Linked DNA regions of Tamandua tetradactyla. The protein of the gene in region 1 binds, or shares a complex with, the protein of each later gene. Links are inferred from orthologs where the notes say so. Each region holds a gene or a part of one and is shown on either strand. Other genes may lie near its edges.

Region 1 (6,624 bases):
GCTCAGTGCCTGGCACAGCACAGGCCCTTCATGTCCAGAACAACTGACCTGCAAAGAGCTTCAGGCCCCTGGACCTCCTCCGAGGCAGGCAGGAACTGCGGGAAGCAGGCCAAAAAGGCCTGACCCAGCCTGTCTCCTTGGAAGAGGCTCAGAGTGAGAATGGGAGCTGCACTCACAAGGTGTGGGAAGTCCACTAATATGGGGGGGGTGGGCAGGGAGGTGCAAGCCAGGGCCCATCCCTCCTCTACCCACAACCCTCCATGCTCCCACCTCACTTGGGGAAAAGCCCATATGGCACCCCCAGCCCCTTGCATGCCCTGCCCCGTCCCCTCCCTGCCTGCCACTCCTCCCTTTCCCTCTCCCTCCCTCCAAGCCCCAGCCCCGTGGGCCTCCTCACTGCTCCTTCAACCCACCAAGCCTGGTCCTGCCTCAGGGCCTTTGCACTGACTATGCCCTCTGCCTGAAACACTCTTTTGCCAGAGCTTTGCAAGGCTTGCTCCCTCCCACCCTCCCTACAGCTCTGTTTAAATGTTGCCTCAGGGCCTTTACACTGACTATGCCCTCTGCCTGAAACACTCTTTGGCCAAAGCTTTGCAAGGCTTGCTCTCTCCCTCCCTATAGCTCTGTTTAAATGTTATCTTTTCATGAGAGTCCATTCACTCATCCCCTCTCTCTGCCTCCACCTGGTCCAGCCCCCACCATTGACCACCTAGACCTGAAGTTGCCTCTACCTTGGTTCTCCAGCTCCCGCCCTCACCTCCCATAGTCTGTTCTCCCTGAGGCAGCCAGAGGGCACCTGTGAGCAACTAAGACTGGGCCTGTCCCTCCTCTGCCTACAACCTTCCATGGCTCCCACCTCTCTTGGGATAAAAGCTCAAGTCCATCCCATAGCCCACCAGGCTCTGCGCACCCTGCCCCATCACTCTCTCCCTTTCAAGGTGGGGAAGCCATAACCCCAAGCTCCAGCACACTCAACTTACCTGCTTGCTATGTTCCTGAAGGTCGTCTTGGATCTTCTGAAGCTGTGGCAGGATGGGGATCAGGCCAGAAAGTGGTCAATGGAGGTGAGTAAGAGTCTGGGGTGTCAGCAGCACATGTGCTTCTCCCCAGCTGTGTGACCCTGGACAAATCACTCTGCCTCTCTGGTCCCTACTCTTACCTGTTATACCCCGAGTTAATCAGGGAGCCCACTGGACTTCATTCTCAACAGGAACTGAAGGTCAACATTCTCCCTTTGCCCAGTCCACTCTCCATCCTCCTTTCCTCGCGCTCACTCCCTTCACTCTAGTCACAGAGCCTCTTCACTGTTCTTCCAACACACCAGGCTCTGTGTTGCCTCAGGGCCTCTGCACTGGCTAGTCCCTCTGCCAGATACACTATTCCCTGTTTTTTCTAGGGGTGGCCGACTCTTATCCTCCATGTCTCATCCTGATTAACACCTCTTCTGATAAACCCTTCCTGCTACCTTAGCTCAAGAAAATCTTTCCTTTCGCCCCTGTTACCTGTTTGTGAAACTGGTTTCTCTATTACCTTGTCTGTCTCCCCTACACCTAGAGTTGTGCTGTCCATCGAAGGAGCCACTAGCAAGGGAAACTATTTAAATTAAATCAAGTTAAGAATTCAGATCCTTAGTTGTATCACCACATTTCAAATGGATTGCAGGTACCAATTTGAACTCTGTAACCATGGAACATTCCCATCGTGGTGGAAAGTTCTAGAAGACTGCCCTGCATTAGCGGGTAGATTCTCGAAGAGCAGTGCTCCAAACATCTGCCGTATCCCTGAACATCCAACCTGGTCTGAACCATCACTCACTTTCAATATGGAATTTCTAGTTTTCACTGCAAAGTCAGTAAAGGGAAAAACTCACCCAGAGAAGCGGGCTCCATTACTCGCTTGCCCACAGTAAGCAAAAAATAAGTCAAGGTGGAAGTAGTCCCTGAACAGGATTCCTGAAGCTAAAGAGGTCAGCCCTTCAGGGCCCAGGGGCTGCAGCAGCCCCCTGTTGGGAGCCCAGGTACCTGCACCATTCCCCCCTCCCCTTACATCACCTGCTCTGAGGGATTGCCGGGTCTGGCTCACCAAGCAGTAAATGTTCTCCACCTGTGCCATCAATTTGGGGGAAAACCTGAGTGGGGGAAGAAAGACTGACTAGAAGCAGCAGCTCAGGAGGCCCCAGAGTATGAGCCCCCCGGCCCCTCAACTCAACCCCAACTGCAGGGCAAATATTCACTCCAAGAGCCAAATTTACGGTGGCACCCAAAAGCTCAGTGATCAAGAAAATAAGATTTTAATGCAATATTTTCCAACAGTGTCAAATGTAAGGTTACCCATTTCGTGCTGAATGCAATATTAAAATTTTAAATAAAAGCCAGAATCAGTATTACTGAGTTTTCCTTTTGCCATCTGCTCCATTCTGGTCCCCCAGATCCCCACCCCCCCACCCCTACCTCCTTTACTGACCCAGAGGCTTCTGGGTCACCCATAAGGGCCCCAAGGATAGGGACCAGGAAGGATCCTTTCCCCTTTTGGTGGGATGCAGGGCTGCCTCAAATCGCCCTCACCTGGAGAAATGTAACTTGAATTCTTCCAGTTTGTCCAAAGCTGTCAGCTCCTGAGGGTCCTTGGAACTAGAAGACTGAGTTTCAGCCTGGATTAAAAAAAAAAAAAAAAAAAAAGTCAGTAGAACTGAAGAAGATTTTCAGGCGCTCAGACTTTCAGGTCTCATCAGCATCTCATCTGATGCCTCCTTAGCGCTACCCTGAAGTCCCCTGGGATTTTGACCCACCCCCGTAGAGATAAGGAAGGTCCTTCTAAAACCTGAAGTTAATTGGCTTTCTCTCTCGGTATTTAAGTACCAGCAGAATAGCTTTAATTTTTCCCCCTGGCCCACAAAGTCTAAACTATCTATCATCCAGCCTTTTGCAGAAAAGTTTGAGCACCTCTGCCCTAAACTGCTAGAAAAAGTGGGTTCTCGGAAGGGCTGGAGGAGGGAGGCTTCTGCTTGTAAAATATGAACTTGGATGATGTAGTCCTGTGTTTTATCACCTGTGTCATCAGAAGTCAATTTAATTAAAAAAGAAAGTGTCTTGACACCTGGGACTCCAGGTGCCAGTGATGGGTGAACACTACCAGCTGGGAGGCATGGCTAGCATTAGCCCATCTCACAGGTGGATTCACAGATCGGGAGCAGCAGAAATGAATGAGGCCTTATCCCCCTAGTTCCCTAACTTCTGAGACACCCCCCCCCCGCAGCTCCCATGCTTGTCCCCCCTGCTGATGCCAAACCACGTCTTCCTCACCAAGGTTCCCGCTGTCTTGACGTTCACGACCCCATCAGAGTGCCCCTGGGAGTTGGGTGGGCTCTGAGAGGTCATCTTCAGACTCTGAAAGGAAAAAGGAGATGGCAAGTCCCCTGAGAGCAGAAATCCCAGCAGTTCCAGGGGGAGAAGCAACCCCCATCGTGTCCCAAGGCCTCCTGCCCCACACACCATTGTCTCTCTCCAGGACACAGTCCTGTACCCCCAACCCCTCCCCTGACCTCCAGCTTCCTCACAGCGTTCCTAAAACCTATATTCATTCATCAAACGCTCTCTGGTGCCTCCAGCTGTCCTGATTAACAGTGGGGACCCAAAAAGGACTGGGCCCTGGGCCTCACCCTATGATGTGGGATAGGACACACAGACTCTCTGCCCAGAATACGAACCAAATAAACCTCGGTTTTGAGATAATTTTTCAAAGCAGGGAAGATCTTTGGAAGTGGGTTTTGAAGGATGAGTAGGAGTTAGCTAGCGGAGATGGGAGGAACTTAACAGGCAGGAGCAAAGCAACCTCTCTCGCCTCTAATGACTCATAAGGCCCCAAGCCCCTTCCTTACTTCGCTGTGTCCTTCAAGGCCCTTCCAGCCTCCTCCCCAGTCAGGAAACTTGGCCACCAACTCACCTCCCCAAGGGTGGGGGCCCAGGGCAGGAGCTGTAGGGACGGCACTGCAAGGGTCGGTCAAGTTCAAGCCAAAAGAAAGCTTCTCCTCCCCCTGGGGGCCATTTGACCTGACCCGGCCCCGCCCCGGCCCGCCCCGGCCCCACCCCGGCCCCGCCCGGGCCCCGCCCCGCCGCCACCTGGTCCGTGAAACTGGTCAATGAATGAGCAGCAGCTGCACGTGGGCTCGGGATCCGCAGGCGACCGCCGGAGGCGCTGGCCAATCGCGAGGTCGATTGCCCACGTGGGCCGCGGCCGCCGTGCCCGATTGGTCGGTTTGCCGCGGTCGCCCGCCAGGCTGTCACTCATAGCGCCGCGAGCCTTCGCTTAACCCTTGCTGTCCCGCTGCGGGAAAGAGTGGCGTGCAGAGCCGCAGGCTGTTTGGGATCCTGGCAAACGGTGGGGCTATAAAGGGGCGGGGGGTGGGGGTGGGGAGCTGGGGTTTAGGGGTCAGAGGGTGAAACTGGGGGAAGGGCTGGGTGGCCTAAGGTTGCATTATCTGGTAAGAACCCTGATTGCTTGGTCCGGCCAGGGGTTAGCTTATGAGGGGCTTGGGGTTTTCAGCACCTCGAGATCAAGCCCCTTTCAGGAGAGAATTTAACAACTCCGGTTTATCCCCGGCTTCCTGTGAGCCAAACTCTGGGCTAGGCGTTTTATCAGTGAATTTTCCCAACTGCCCTTCCTTGGAGAAAGCGGAAGAGCAGATGTCTCCAGGCTGGCAGGCCAGGTTGAAGTCTACGGTGGGAAAGAGCTGTGGGCGTTCCAGGCAGAGGGAGAAGCCAGGGCAGAAAGCCTGCAGCCGTTGTTGGGAGCGTGAAAGGATGCAGCCTGCTGTGTACACAGTTTGGCCCTGGCCGTTCTCAGAAAATACAGAATTACCATGTGAGCCAGCAATCCCAAGTCTCAGCATATATATATATATATATACCCTCAAACTGTTGAAAGCTGGGACTTGAACAGATAGCTGTGCTCCTAGCGATATTTTTCTCAAAAGCCAAAAGGTGGGAGCCACCCGAGTGTCCATCAACAGATGAGTGGGGAAACAAAATGGGGTCCACGCAGGCGATGGAATATCATTCGGCAGTAAAAAGGAAGGACTTTCCAGTCTCCGCTAATATGTGGCTGAAATTTGAAGACCTCATGTTGAGTGAAAGAAGCCAGATGCAAAAGGATAAATGTTGTATGGCTTTGCTTACATGAAATAACTAGAAGATGCAAATTAGTAGGGATAGAAAGTAGAGTCCGGGGTTAGGTGTGGGGAATGGGGAGTGAACGCCTAATAGGTGCAGAGGTTGAGGGGGATAGAAAAGAGTTGGTAAGGGCTAGTGTTGATGGTAGAACAACACTGCAAATGTAATAAACATAGATGCATCATATACTTGGAAAGGGTTAAAATGAAAATATGTGGATGTTACCATAATAATTTTTTTTTTAAAGCTCTGAAGTGGGGAATAACTGGACCACTTCGGTTTGGACTGGATGGGGGCAAAAAAGAAACTCCAGAAGGGATGATAACAGGAGGTGAGGACAGAGGGGTGTGTTTCAGGGAAGCCTCCTGTGGGTATAGGAGTGGGATTTATGGGGTTCAGGAGTTCTGTTTTGGGCCAATATTAAAATGCCTATTGCAGATGGTAATTGGTCTGTCCAGAGTTCTGCCCCAGGGCCTTTGCACTGGCTTGCTCCCTCACCTCCTACAGCTCTGTGCTCAGAGGTCACCTCCTCAGTGAATCCTCCACTGAGGATCCCTATTAAAAAAAACAAAAACAAAAAAAACCAATCCCCTTAGTCTCCTTTTTTTGCTTTATTTTTCTCCAGTATGATTTGGATTGGAGCTGACCTTGTGATACATCACAGTGGTTTCACAGGATGGCTCTAAACCCGGCCTGTGTTCAAAATCAATGTAATGCTGGTGGGATTCTCATCCAGAGCCATCACTACCACCCCTGGTTCCTTCTCCTCACTCACCACACCCTTCTAGCACCCGGAGGTTATGATGTAAACATGTAATATTGTGGGTTCTGTGGCTGGTGTATGGAGGAGAAAGTGAGAGCTGTTTTGTAGGAGATACAGAAAGCCTTTCACCCCCAATCCCTCAACCCGTCCTTCATTGAAGTGTATTTTATTTATGGACCAACTGCTAATTGCCTCCCTCTATGCCTCTTCCCCCAGCACATCCGTTTATCTACAGCTGCACTGTCTCAAGTGGTAGCCACTGGGTGCATGTGTCTACTTAAATTAAAATGAGATAAAATTAAAACTTCTGAGTTCCTCAGTTGCACTGGTCAGTTGCAAGGGCTCAGTAGCCATGTGTGGCTGGAGACTCCTAGACTGGATATTTTCATCCAAAAATGTTTTCAGCCCCCCAATTCCACTGAACGGTCCTGATCTGAGGTTCTCAAAAATGAAAGGTGGAAATATTAAACTGCCCCATGTGGAGAAGTCACAATCACTGGGGATGCCAATTTGATGGACCAGTCTTGATCTTGATCTTGGGGCTTGCTCTTATGAAACTTATTCCTCCAATGGGAAAGCTCAGCCTACCTATAATTATGCCTAAGAGTCACCCCCAGAGAACCTCTTTTGTTGCTCAGATGTGGCTTCTCTCTGTAATCCAACTTGGCAGGTGAACTCACTGCCCTCCTCCCT
Region 2 (5,826 bases), on another chromosome or scaffold:
TAGGCTGGCCTGTTCCTTCGCTACCACCATGCTTCAAATCTTAGTATTATGTTCTTCTGTTACCTGCAGCAGCTTTCTCACTGACTTCCTGGCCTCTTGCTCTTCCTTGTCCTGAGCAGAATCCACAAAGCACCAGTGCCTTGGCAGTACATCAGTTTTTACATCAATTTTAAAGGTGCTCATTCTTCAACCCACAATTCCACTTCTAGGAAGCTCCTTCAGCAACAGTTCAATGTGGACACAAGGAAGGAAGTAGAAATTCAGCACTGCATTGTGTGCAGTTGAGAAATCTGGAAAAAACTAATCAAATAATGAAAGAGTTAAAGGGTACCCATACTGAGGAAAATCATGGTAGTAGAAAAGTATATGCAATTCTGTAAAAGCACAAATTAAACTACTAAAAAAAAAATGAATACCAATAAGGAAATGAGTGGGTTTGAGACAGTAGTCTGGAGACTTTGGCATTTTCCTGTATAACCTTGACTTTAGGATGTGACTACAGCATCATATGTATTTACTGTCATAAAAGAGTATTTTAAAAATGCTATCACTGCTTGAAAGTGGGTAAAAGGGATACCATTTATGCACATTCCCCTTCCTCTGACACTACTGCCTTCATTTTTCCCATTTCATTCCTTTTGTGTTTACCCATCTTCACAGCAGACTTATACTAAATATGAATTTATTATATTGTTTCGTCTATTTAGTAGTTGTTTCAAGTTTATTGCTAATAGCCATGTTTTCGTGTAGAAAGCAAACTCTCTTCTTAAAGAATGTCATCTGAATAATCTGGCTAGATTTATCTATTTCTGAGGAGGAGATTTCAAATGCTAAGGTCTTCACTCTAATTCCAGTTTAATCAGCATCTATAAAAGGATAACTCACTTCCAATAGAAATCCATTCCAGATAGTAATTGCTTGTAAGGTCTTCTGTTTGCTTCTTTAAAGGTTACTGAATCCTTTCAGTTTCTCCCTAAAATAGGCTTCCAAATTTCCAATGAATCAATACATTGATTTAATGTGTTCCTGACTAAACATTGATTTAATGTGTTCTGACTAAAGTAAGGTGGAATGGAGTTCTCAAAGTGAGAATCTCAACACCAGTTTCACCTGTGAGCTTGTTAGAAATGCAAACTAATGCCCCCCAACAATGTAATGAATCAGGATCTTGAGAAGGGGATTAGGAAATTGTGTTTCAACAAGCTCTCAGTGATTAACACACTTTAAAGTTTCAGAACCAATGTAAAAGGAAATACCCTGCAAACATTTTAAGGGCTTGGGATTGGTGATATGAAAAGCACCAGAAGACAGTATGGAGAGCTGACCACTGGGACCTGGTGAGTGATTTACTGACATTGCAATTAGGACTATCTGGTTCCAGCGGGATGGGTGAGGGGGTCTATTTAAGTTGTGCTGAGGTCTCCTGGAGCCTGGAAGGCAAGGAAAGAGGAGGGAGGGAGATAAGGAACTAACTAGACAGCCTCTCAGGTGCTTGGGTAACAGGTGTGAGAAGGAGAGAGGTGAGGGAGGTCAGGGGGTGACTGATACTTAGAATAGCTAAGTTAGGATCTGAAGTTGTTGCCCACCCACCCCTTGCAAACACAGAGCTGTTTTTCTCTGCAATCCCAAAGCTGCAAGATTATTTTTAAGATAGTCAGGACAGGAAAGGGAGGGGGTATAGGCGTGCAAGTAAACCTGGCAGCTTGGTCAAAAAAAAAAAACAAAAAACAAGACCAGTCTTGTTCACCAAAACAGACTGGCCATTTGTGAGGTCATCTGCCCCTGCATCTTTGTCCCCTGGGTTTGAGGGCCTGACCATAACCATAAAGCCATAAAAGTTCCAAAATGGAAGGAAAAAACAAGAAAAAAAAAGACACTGCTTAGCTTTCTACCTAAACCTAGAAATGAACCGAGTCAGTCTTTTATAAATTGGAGTAACTTTAAGTGATCAAAGATCTTTGGCCATTGGACAAAAAAAGCAAGGAAATTCATTTCTTTATTGGAAGAACACAAACTCACATTTGCACCAAAATAATCAAACTATTATTCACTGAGACACAGGAGACTGGAATGAAAGTTGAACGATACTTGTTTTCCTTCAACTTTAGTAGCAGAAGGCTGGCTCACAATACTCCTGAGGATACTCATTCTGTCTTAAGCAACAGGATGCTGGGTAGTCTGGGCGCCTGATGCATGAGACTTTAAGAAGTCCTCAAGTCGTTTCATCTTCTCAGCTGGAGGAAAAACAATTGATGCCGACCACCAGTTTGGAAAAGTGCTTGCTGTTTTAGACTGTACTGTACTTGTTAATAGGTGGCAGTAAGGGAAGGTGCTGGCAACACCGTTTCTCGGGGTGGAGACATGAACCGGGATCTGGGAATGGTGATGGAGTCCACCTGTAGTTGGCTTGGGCAGCGACGGGCTCCCAATTACGCCAGACCTCTGCTTACCTTTCCGAGACCCTACCCCGGGCTCCCTCCCAAAGCGATCCCCAGCAGCTGGGTACAGCTTCTTGGGGCTTGGAAACTCTGAAGAGTTACTTTCAGAAGAGAGGCCGGAAGAAGCCAGGCAAGTCCAGAAAGGAGATACGTGGCTCTCTCCACATGCAGGTTCGCCCAGACCCTCACCTCTGAAACGACGTTCCCGGTGTAACGCTGCCAGACCCAGGAGAATGCTCTTCACCCGGTTCCGTACCCGCGGCCGGCCGAAGACGGTGATTTCGGCGAGGCCCTCCGAGTCTACTGTGTCCACCATCAGCAGAGCCTGGCTCATCCACTCAATCTTCGCAATGGTTGCTCTGTCTGCGCCTAAACAGGGAAGGAGAGACTGTGAGCCGCGGGGCAGTCGCGGGTTTGGCGGCGCTAGATAAGAAGGGAATGTTGCTGGGCCGAGGGAACAGCTGGGGGCTGGTGTCCTTGGGCTGGCGCCAGACGCGCGCAGGCGAGTCCGAGAAGGCGGCCGCAGGGTTGCTCTGCAGTCCGCTCTCCAGCTGTGGGGGCTAGCCTAGGAGCAAACCCCCGGTCACCCACCGAAGATCGGGTCCACCAGCCATGCCTCCAGGTGGAACACCAGCGGGTCCTTCAGGTCCTCCACGGGAAACCACCACGGTCGGACGCGAATCCGTGGCACCGGGAGTAATAACCTGGGCAGGCTGCTGTGGGACGCCGCAGGCACCTGCTTGTCATCCTGGGCCTCAGCAGGACGGGCCTCCGCAGCGCGGACCCCGGCAGCGTCAGCGTCGTCCACCATGCTCAGGACGGTGCGGCCCTCAGGAGAGTCCAGACCCCAGCGAAGCCCACGCCCCCTCATCCTGCATTAAGGTTCCTGACCAGCCCCGCCCCTTCCGGCAGAGCTCACGCCCCCCGCCCCCCATCCCTGACCTCCGGATTTAGCTGCCACGTGGAGGTTGGTGCTCCCACCTGGGCGCCCTGAGGCGCCTCCTGCTCTGTGTCAATCACTCAGGCTTCACTTCGGCCTTCAACAAGAATTTATTTGAACTCCAAACATGTCTCCCTTGCTCTTCATTGTCGGCCCCACCTAGTAAGGTATCACATAGCCTCAAAGGTCCCTGCCCCAGCATGTAACTCATTAACAATACGAGGTGGAACTGGCGACCTTGTTGACCTGGAATCACCTTTATCGCCAAGGTTAAGGTCTCCACCTTGCCCTCCAGACGTAGGTAGGTAGATCAGGTGGATGGAAGCAGGTTCCTTGAATCTGTAAAATCTCTCCTCTCAGCCCCCATTATCTTCTGACTCTTTCCAGAGGGTTACTATCTCGAAATCATTCAAGCAAAACTGTGTCATGTTTTAAATAAAATGTCAGAGGTAGTCATTATAGAAAACGTAGCTGGTGTGGACAAATACCGTTTACTCCCACCATCCTAAGACACAACTTCTACAGATGACACTTCTCTCCAGTATTCTCAATTTTAATTAAATTTTAAATTGTGAAAGGTTTTACATATGCACAAAGTAATAGAACACCCATTTACCACCGCCACGCCCAAATTTAACGTATGTCAAAATTCTCCCACATTTGCCTCTCTTTAAAATTATTATCATGAAGGAATCTTCCCTTTCCCTCTCTAGTGGAAATCATTGTTGTAAATGCACAATGATTTCCCAATAGTTCTATTTTTGGAGGACTTTCAATTACTAAGTAAACTGCTTTGGAGGATATTTCAGAACTTCCTTACCCAAATGAAAACAACTCTGAACAAATTATAAATTGCATAAGTTTATCTGCAGATTCTCTGCTTTAGCACCTAAATCAATTACCATACGATACAATTTTTACCTATTCACCCCACAGTAGAAACTGTACTGAAGTATGGTCACATTATGCCATCTTCCAGTTAATAGAATCATTTATTGTATTACCTCCAAGAATATAATTTTTATTATGTGTCAAAATTACCAGCTCAACATGGGGCACTCATTCAGTGTTTACTGATTCACAGGTACATGAATTAGTGTCCAGCTTCTACCTCCTCCTTAAGCGGATGGAATTATTTAATAAAAGTTTGATTCAGGACAATTAACCCTTTACACATATTTATGATTTAGGTTAAGTTATAGACTAGTGTGGAAAAAAACTATAATGACAGGGAGCCTACACACTCAATTCAAAATTTAATTTTTTCCTTCCTTAAATACCATGCATTTGATTAGACATGAGGCAGCTATTTTGTTTTCAATAGCCACATTTAGGGATACATTCATAGGACTGGTTAGATAGTCCAGGCAAAATGGTTATAGTGTCATCCCAGAAAATTCATTTACATATCAAAATCTATTTTGATATCTGGAATTTTATAAAAAGAGTGAAGTTCCTCAAACTAATGCCTTCTGTTACTCAAGCACTCTTCTCTTGGCAAGAGGAAGCTGAAGCTTATCCATGAAAGTTAAAGGTGTTTAATATGAAACCTTTCTTCTGAGCTTAGATTTGGGCTGCTTAAGAAATTGATGCTTGAAAAACAGCATGGTCTTTGTAGATTTTTTCTGTTTTAAGATTAGAACTCTATATATTCACTCATCAACTACCTTCCTTTTCTGTATTCTTGGCACTCGATAAGACTGTTTATTATACTTTCACATTCTCAAATAAGAATTTAGGATTATAAATGTGCACAAACATTTTGTAAATAGTATGTTTGGAGAGATGAGACTTTCATACCAGAATTTTACAAAAGAGAATATACGTTATGAATCAACCTTTCTTTTGAAGTAAAGTGAGAAAAAATTCAAGGCCTGTGCACGTTATAAAATCTAATGGGGGACAGGCCATGGTGGCTCAGCAGGCAGAGTTCTCGCCTGCTATGCCAGAGACCCAGGTTCGATTCCTGGTGCCTGCTCTTGCAAAAAAAAAAAAAAATCTAATGGGACATTGTAATGGAACATCAGCATTGGCGGTCTAAAAAATTTTAAGTATTAAAGATGGGATTATGGGAGGAAAAGATAAAAAAAATTTTAGTTTCCCATCTTACAAAAATTTATCAACCCATCAAAGCCACTTGTCTACGTGCCAGAAAATATTCTGGTATAAGTCAATTCTTTCAGTAGAGGAGGTCATTGTGACATGTGCATTATTAACACTTCCAGACTTCTACTTTTCCAAGCATAGAAGCAGTATGTTTAACATTTCCACTCTTCCCCAAATCTTTAAACTCAACATTGTTGGCCGAGTGTAATCAAATCTGGGATGCTCTGCAACAGATAAGTAATAGCACAGCTATGTTCTCAAAAATACTGCCTTGATATTCTTTGTAATAATCAAACACTCAGTGGCCACAGATTTAGCAGCCAACATTAGCTAACATTAAAT

What was found.
Region 2: the proteins of TLE6 (region 1) and OOEP are in contact, whole or in part, in a cryo-EM structure (PDB 8H94), measured with the Mus musculus proteins. The link is inferred for Tamandua tetradactyla from reciprocal best matches to the Homo sapiens genes TLE6 and OOEP. Residues at the interface, in NP_444484.1 of Mus musculus: Trp256, Ser258, Phe304, Thr305, Arg306, His307, Val318, Asn320, Val322, Asn323, Glu332, Ser333, Asn354, Ser355, Arg356, Leu373, Ala374, Ala375, Pro376, Ser377, Leu378; in NP_080756.1 of Mus musculus: Arg32, Pro33, Trp34, Trp35, Pro37, Gln39, Glu40, Glu67, Trp70, Met71, Gln73, Gln94, Pro95.

Annotation. Positions count from the first base shown.
Region 1 is NC_135337.1:79,424,864-79,431,487, forward strand, and holds the start of TLE6 (transducin-like enhancer protein 6), read right to left. Parts: upstream 4,065-6,624; 5' UTR 3,943-4,064; intron 3,387-3,942; 5' UTR 3,378-3,386; coding exon 3,303-3,377; intron 2,651-3,302; coding exon 2,565-2,650; intron 2,129-2,564; coding exon 2,083-2,128; intron 1,023-2,082; coding exon 981-1,022; intron 1-980. UniProt on the Homo sapiens protein: Component of the subcortical maternal complex (SCMC), a multiprotein complex that plays a key role in early embryonic development.
Region 2 is NC_135331.1:129,283,719-129,289,544, forward strand, and holds OOEP (oocyte-expressed protein homolog), read right to left. Parts: upstream 3,323-5,826; 5' UTR 3,310-3,322; coding exon 3,030-3,309; intron 2,808-3,029; coding exon 2,628-2,807; intron 2,235-2,627; coding exon 2,155-2,234; 3' UTR 1,979-2,154; downstream 1-1,978. UniProt on the Homo sapiens protein: Component of the subcortical maternal complex (SCMC), a multiprotein complex that plays a key role in early embryonic development.